Linked DNA regions of Oryzias latipes. The protein of the gene in region 1 purifies or fractionates together with the protein of each later gene. This does not show direct contact. Links are inferred from orthologs where the notes say so. Each region holds a gene or a part of one and is shown on either strand. Other genes may lie near its edges.

Region 1 (3,653 bases):
TCCACAAAAACAAATTCCAGGTGACTGTAAAAAAATTCCATATACATGTGAAAATAAAAATACAATCCATTAATAGTTTATCTGTTTTCCCCCCAACAGTTAAAAAGCAGTCTTTTTGTTTTTTTCATTGTTGGTTTTAGTTTGAAAAACAGATGAAGGAATGATACACAGATTCATATGATTGGCTGAAAGTGAAAACGCCTGGTTGGCTGATGAATTTGATTGACAGATTCATTAGCCAATGATGACATTTTTTGACCAGGCACATTAGATGAGTTTCAATATTCACCATATGCATTTCTCTCACAAATAGAGATTCACAAATGAGAGGTGATTTGTAAATGCACATTCTGTAAATCGTATGATCTGTGAGTTTATATTACAATTGTTCCTCAAATTTATGTTTGTGGAACAGTTTGTGTGTTTTGTGAAACGCTTCACATGGATTTGTGAATTTATATTAAATGTTTGCATAAATGTTTATTTGTTAATCAGAGCGTTTGTATTTGTGAAACAGTTTGTGTGCATTTCTGATTATTGAGACTGAACTCCATACACACAGGTTGATGGAGATAAAGGCAGAATGAGAAAGGTTTCTGCCAGACAAATACATCTGATTAGGAGAGCTGCTAAAACACCATTATACCGGGAAAGATGAACTGTGACGTAGAAAGGGAAGACTGTCTTCTGTTCTGTTTGACGGAGATTCAGAGAGGATTTCAGGTTGGAGCACAGACTGCAGAAGGAGGGAAGAAAATGTCACGTCTTGATCGTGTTGCCAGATAAAAATAAAAAACATGGGTCTCTGATATTGTTCAGTGGGCCGGACCAAACATGGAGGCGGGCCGGATCCAGGCCGCGGAACGTAGTTTGCCCACCCCTGACGTGAACCTTCTATTTGCCCCTCCCCTAAACAACACTCGCAAGCAGAAACAGCTGCAGTTGGTCCAGACATACGTGAAGACTTATTTTCAAACAGTCTTGTTTACTGATGATGACATACAACCCTGGATGGTCCAGATGGATGAAGTAGTGGGTGGATGGCCACCATGTCCCAACAAGGCTGCAACGCCAGCAAGGAGGTGTTAGAGTCACCTTGCGTTCTGTAACAGAATCCTCTTCTTGCATGACAAAGCACCATCTCATGCTGCAAGGAATACCTCTGCATCATTGGCTGGTAATGGGCAGAAAGGGAGATAAACTGATGGCCCCCCATGACTGAGGTCCTTTGGTGTGTGTAGGCCACTACTCAGGACCTTCTTTTAAACTGTGGTTGCATCAGCAACTTTCTAAGCAGTGGTCTGCTGGAGTGGTGGAATTACAGACAGGGACAAGAAGAAACTGGACAAGCTGATCGAGAAGGCTAACTCTGTCCCTGGGTGTCCCCTGGACTCAGTGAACTCTGTAGGTGAGAGGAGGATGCTGCCCAAGCTGCCCAGCATCCAGAACAACCCCTCTCACCCTCTGTATGAGACGGTGAGGACCATGAGTAGCTCATTCAGCCGCAGACTGCTGCAACCTCAGTGCAAAAAGGAACAATACAGGAGATCCTTTTCAATTCAATTCAATTTTATTTGTATACCCCGAATTCACAACAACAGACAAACATCCTTTGTCCCAACAGCAGTAGACTGTACAATAACATGGTATAGGACTGCTTAAATTGCTGCTGTATTTACTTATTTATTTATGACGTGTACTTTTACCACCATTTTTCACCACTACTTTTGTCTTTTTCTCTTGCTATTTGTTTTCCCAACTCTTATATTTCTTGTTTGGCAGCTGTAACTAAATTTCCCTTCAGGAATCAATAAAGTCCTATCTTATCTTATCTTATCTTATCTTATCTTATCTTATCTTATCTTATCTATTCTAGCTGGACATTTTCTGCAAAAATCCAGCGTTGTACTCCTTTACATCTGACAAAAAAAAGAAGAAAATTTAACATCTGTGAGGATAGGTCTTCTCTGCAATCCTAAATACATCAGAACTGGTCAGCATCTATGTAACCATGGTAACCGGCCATCACTGATCTTTATGAGTTACGAAATGAGGAGCTGCTGTCTTTACAGGAACAGGAAAGATGAATCTCACTTCCTGAAAGTTTCAGCTGGATTTCCGGATGACAAGGGGCCTCTTGTCCTCCCAGAATGACCTCAGAAAAAGCCCGAGCACTGTAGCACGTAAAGAGATGGTGAGAGGAGCACCGGCTAGCTTAACCAACACTTACACATGCTAGGATTAGCAGAAACACTCCACGCCAGGGGGCCCTTCCGGTCTGTATCGCGCTATGGCTAGCCCAGTCCATCAATCTCCTTTCCGCCTCAAGACCACCCGAGTGCGAGTGACTACGGAGGGTGGACGTGAGCGTCATCTTACCTATGGAGTCCCGAGGCTGTGATTTATAGCGTTCAGCAGGCTAACTCCAAGAGACGGATTATTAAAATGTACCATCGTCCACTTTCCGCTGGCTCCTTAACGGCCACACGCTCAAAGACATTACTGTTTCAGAGAGCACAAAAGTCACATCTCGCTTTTACTCAATAAATCTTTTTGAAATGACCCAAACCTGCCCTTCCCGGACAGCTAGTAAGACGAGCTAACCAGTCTTGAGCTAACGTCAGCTACTAAATCCGCTCGGTCTTTCACTTCTCTTACCTCATAGTTTCATTGTCATTCACAGGATAAATGTACTCATTCCGTGTTCATATAGCCGACTGAAAATGGTATATTATCCAAAACGGCGGCAGCTCGTCTTGAAAATCCTTTTTGTGACTCCTAGTGGATCGGGATACCAACAGACACAGCGACAACTGGAAAATGGGTTAAGGCCAGATGGATCTCGCGAGATTTGATGGACTATGGATGTAAAACATCGCGGTAGTGGAGATAAACTGATTACAGCACAGTGAACGCCTCTGTTTGATGCTGTCTTCAGGATAGCAATAAAGAACCGGCTCTTTTGGCTCAGTTCGCTAGAAAGAGGCGACTCTTTCGGCTCCCAAGCAGCTCTTTAGGTTGTTTTGCTGCTTTCCTTAGTTTATTATAAACGACAGTATATAATTATTTACAAAAGTAATTATTAGTGTAAAGATTTGTATTTATCCATTTGTTTTTATTTTATGATTATGATTTATTGATTTACTCCAGATTAATTGTAAAAAAAAATTTGCTATAAAATAAAAAAAAAACAATCATTTAAAGTTTTATTTTAACTGAAAACATTTTCTGTTTTTTCCTTGCACACACTTTAAAAGTGAAACAACACAAAGCACTGCAAGCTCAGCACAAAATATAAATTATAATTTGCCAGAAGAATAGAAAGAAAATGAACAAGTAGATTTTTATTCTTAAATAAATATCTAGACAGTTTGAAAGAACATTTTTTGTTTGTTTCAATTTTGGTAGTGTTGTTTTTGCATACAAATTATATAAACTCTAACACGGTCACTCAACCCTTGGCAACAGGCATTCAAGCAGCCACTTCCAATCTAAAGTCTATGAAAACACATGTAACCCTGGGTTTTGTGCTTCCACGTTCTAACTATTGCATTCACACATACCTGCAAAAACTTTTACAGCAGTTTTCCTGGACTAAACATGCATTCAAGAATGTGCGTTCATCACTAAATTCCAGGTGTGTACAAATTGGA
Region 2 (3,652 bases), on another chromosome or scaffold:
TTCCCGTACGCTCTGACGAGGAGGGGAGGAGGGGGCGAAGGGGTCGGCTAAAGGGTCCTTGACAGGCAGGGAGGAGGAGGAGGAGGAGGAGGAGGAGGAGGAGGAGTCCCCGGCGGTCTGTGGGAGGAACGGCGCTCTTCGCTGGAAGGAGGAGTCGGAGGACTCGGTTCTAGAGACAGACGATCTCTTACCTGCCGGGGGGGGGCACAGACAGGCTTGAGCGTTACGACAGACAGCCGAGGCGTAGCGCCTACGGGTACTGACCTGGGGGGGGAGGGGGAGGTCTCGTGGGTGTACCGGTTTTGGGGGGCAGAGCTGGCGGCACGTCGGCACTTGCAGGCGGGGTTTCGTCCTGGAAAAGGTTCTTGTTGTTGATGCCAAACTGGTCGGGTCCGTTTGACTGAAACGGAGACATTCAGAACACCGGAGCTCATTGACTGTATGGGAGAACTGGACTGAGTGGCCCCTCCCCCTGGCGTTCCAAACAGGAAGTAGGCTTCAACAAGTTAAAATCCCACAGACTTCCTTAGATAAACAGCTGTTACTCTTTCATTCTGTTGGTCAGAAGAACCATCTTCTTCATCCCTTTTTCTGTAATTCAAGTTATTTATGTCATAAACGGACCAATCAGATGTTTCAATAAAAGTAGGCGGAGCCATGTCAAAAGTTCAAAACCTCTGACAGATTTGTCGTAGGTGTCCGAATTGGGAATAAACGGCGACTGAATTGACTTTAAGCGGGAAGCAAAAGCATTTTCTACGGACGCCACTCTCACGCAGTCCGGGTAAAGAGTCGATGCCTGAGCTCCTTCAGGTACGACGTCCACAATCCCTTCACCTGTACCTTCACCTGCATCACCGTTTCATTCAGGGGGGGGGCTAGAACCCAGCGTACGGTACCACCGGGATGGTAGAAACACGGGGATGTCAGTGGTTGAATTCTACTCAGTTCTAGCCGTTCATTGCAACTTCCAAGCGATTGTGGGCGGGCTTATCTGAGAACAGGTGAGGCTGCGTGGGTGGGCGGAGCTTCAGGCACAATGCTTAACCTTTGCTGCACTAAACAAAAGTTTCTGATTCAGTGACCTGGTGGAGGGAGTGACGCGTAAAAGAAAGACTGTCGGCTGTTGAAACAAAGTGTCTTGCCCCATCTTTTATTTGACCTTTAACCTTAAGGCATTCAGAGTGAACAGCAAAGGAAGCATCTGATTGAACCAGGAAAAATATGACAATAAACCCTTTGAATCCTTGAATCCCTGCGCTCTTTTTGAAGCAGCAGGAAAAGATCAAATCTAAAAAACATCCAACCATACTCGGCAGCAGTAATCAGAATACTCTGGAGTAACAGAGTACCTCATACTCCTTCACACACCAACACAGTGCATCAGAAATTTACCTCCACCCGAAATTCAAACCAATTCCAACAAAACTGTGGGAGTTTTTTTCCAACAGGGTGTAAATGTTCATACTTTCAAATCTCCTGCTGGAATCAGAACAACAAACGGATCTTTCTGCCAGAGTCCAAATACTTTAAGGTTTTAACAAACGACCATTTACCTTAGTCAAGGCACTAAAATCCGCAAAGCCTTCTCCAAACGATTCGTTACCAAACACGGCAGCAAAGGGATCTGAAAGAAGAGCAAAAGATTCTGATTAGTTCCAGGTGCTGCCAGAAGGGGGCGCTGCGTCTGTGGAAATACCTGGATCTGAGGAGGCGTTTCCTTTAGTACCACCTGGAGCAAAGGGGTCGTTGTTGAGGGAGGGGGGCTTCTATAAAAGGAAGGAAAACAAAACAAGGCAAAGATTCAACTTTATTTTATTTTTTAAGGGCTGATGAAGTAAAACAAAAAATTAAGAATTGAACACTAGAACTTATTTAATCTCCTACATTTATATGCAGTATTTCAACATTAAAAGTTAAGTCTTGATATTATTTTACTTAAAGAATCAGATTTTTTTCGTTTAATTGATTTCATTTTTCATTTCAATCAGAACAAAAAAGTCAAATTTAAAACAATGTTTTCCTCTTAGACTTTAAGGAACCTAAAGTTTTTTATTTAAAATGAATTATTAAACATTCAGCTGTTTAATTTTGAACCTTTTAAAGGTTTTTCAAAACAAGATTACGTATTTTAAAGCAGTGTTTGGGATCTAAGGGCCAGATTTGGATCAGATCAGGAACCAAAGCCGACCCACTCACCACTGTCAGCTCAGAGCTGGGTGGAGAACTGCTGAACGGGTCTGATCCTCCGTCCTGAGAGGCAAACGGGTCCGTCTCGCCCTCCACAGGGCTCGCCTTGAACGGATCGGCGGCGTTCCCCTGGTTCTGAGCGGAGCTGAACGGATCTTTGGGCGCTAGAGGAGGATTGGAGTCCTTGGAGACGAAGGGGTCCGCCGCTTGTCCTGAAGCCGCGTCATTCAGCTTGGACGCAAACAGGTCCGGTTCTGGTATGCCGGGAGTCGTACCGAACGGGTCGGCCGGAGCGGAGAAGGGGTCCTCCGTGGAGAAGGCGACTTCGGAGGTCTGCGCGAAGAAGGAGTCCACGGCGAAAGGGTCTGTACCTTTAAACGGATCTCCCTCAAACGGATCTGCCCCAAACAGAAAAGGTAAAGGAGATAAGTTCCCCTCTGACATCAAAGGGTCTGTTTTTATCATAAACATCAATGTCAATCAAAGAATTCACCAGCTCCGCCCGATTTTCCGAAGGGATCATCTTTAAAGGGATCGTCTGCGAGGAAAAACAATAACGTCATCGACATATTTTCATCAGACTGTCAAACATAGGAGCTTGGACCTTCATCAGCTCGGTCAGAACAGAACCCGTCCAGCACTTACGGTCGGTAAACGGGTCGGAATGGAAAAAGTCCATTTCGGGCAGGGATGGGGGGCTGGTCTGTGGCGGTAAGGAGCGAGGGACGACCTGAGGGGGCAAAGAGGAGGCGGCCGTCTCTGCAGACTCTGACGGGTCGTCTCTGCTCTCCGGCTCTGGAGACTCCACCTGTTGGGGTCCCAGGACAAGCGTTAGCGCGCGGCGCTGACAGATGTTTACGCTCCAAGTGGAGACGACCTTCTCTAGATAAAAGGTTACACTTTTGCCGCCATTCCTCCTTCCTGCTGCACATTTAAGGGAAAGGTTCACGCTCAGAAACTCATTTGCACAGACAGATAACCCGGTGAAAAAGCATTTTGGGCAAAGTGAACAACCCCCCCCCCAAGAAAAAGAAAAATGAAATGAAAGCAGGAAAAACCATAAAATAAATGAACGGGGGCCGAAATCCCTAACGGGGCTCAAAAAATGTATAATCCACAAAAGAAACCCAAAGAGATGTCTGCGAAATACAAAGGTAGGTTTGAAATTATTATGGGATGGCCACAGCACCTACCATTTTCTGCCAAACCACGAAATTTGGCTATTGTAACATTTTCACACAATGCAGGAAAAGAAACTTTTTGTTTCAATTATCTTCATGAAATTTCAGTTTCGTTGACCTCTGACCTCGTTAGAGGTCACCAGCTTTAAAATAATTTTTAAATTTAAACTCCTCCCAAGGATTTTGATCTAGAACCTCTCAACTCCTTAAATATCTTTGGGAAACTCGATAATTAAACATTTGCAGATGTTGAGTGGTGTTACCGTGGCGATCTCCCAAAA

Evidence for each region. Proteins that work in one complex are often made in the same cells at the same time.
Region 2: the proteins of itsn1 (region 1) and eps15 purify together in Homo sapiens (co-immunoprecipitation; 3 studies listed by BioGRID and IntAct, with this or other methods). This does not show direct contact. The link is inferred for Oryzias latipes from reciprocal best matches to the Homo sapiens genes ITSN1 and EPS15.

The regions. Positions count from the first base shown.
Region 1 is NC_019873.2:531,667-535,319, reverse strand, and holds the start of itsn1 (intersectin-1), read right to left. Parts: upstream 2,844-3,653; 5' UTR 2,659-2,843; intron 1-2,658. UniProt on the Homo sapiens protein: Adapter protein that provides a link between the endocytic membrane traffic and the actin assembly machinery. Acts as a guanine nucleotide exchange factor (GEF) for CDC42, and thereby stimulates actin nucleation mediated by WASL and the ARP2/3 complex.
Region 2 is NC_019862.2:31,360,461-31,364,112, forward strand, and holds part of eps15 (epidermal growth factor receptor substrate 15), read right to left. Parts: intron 2,999-3,652; coding exon 2,836-2,998; intron 2,729-2,835; coding exon 2,684-2,728; intron 2,589-2,683; coding exon 2,200-2,588; intron 1,770-2,199; coding exon 1,700-1,769; intron 1,628-1,699; coding exon 1,557-1,627; intron 401-1,556; coding exon 265-400; intron 192-264; coding exon 1-191. UniProt on the Homo sapiens protein: Involved in cell growth regulation. May be involved in the regulation of mitogenic signals and control of cell proliferation. Involved in the internalization of ligand-inducible receptors of the receptor tyrosine kinase (RTK) type, in particular EGFR.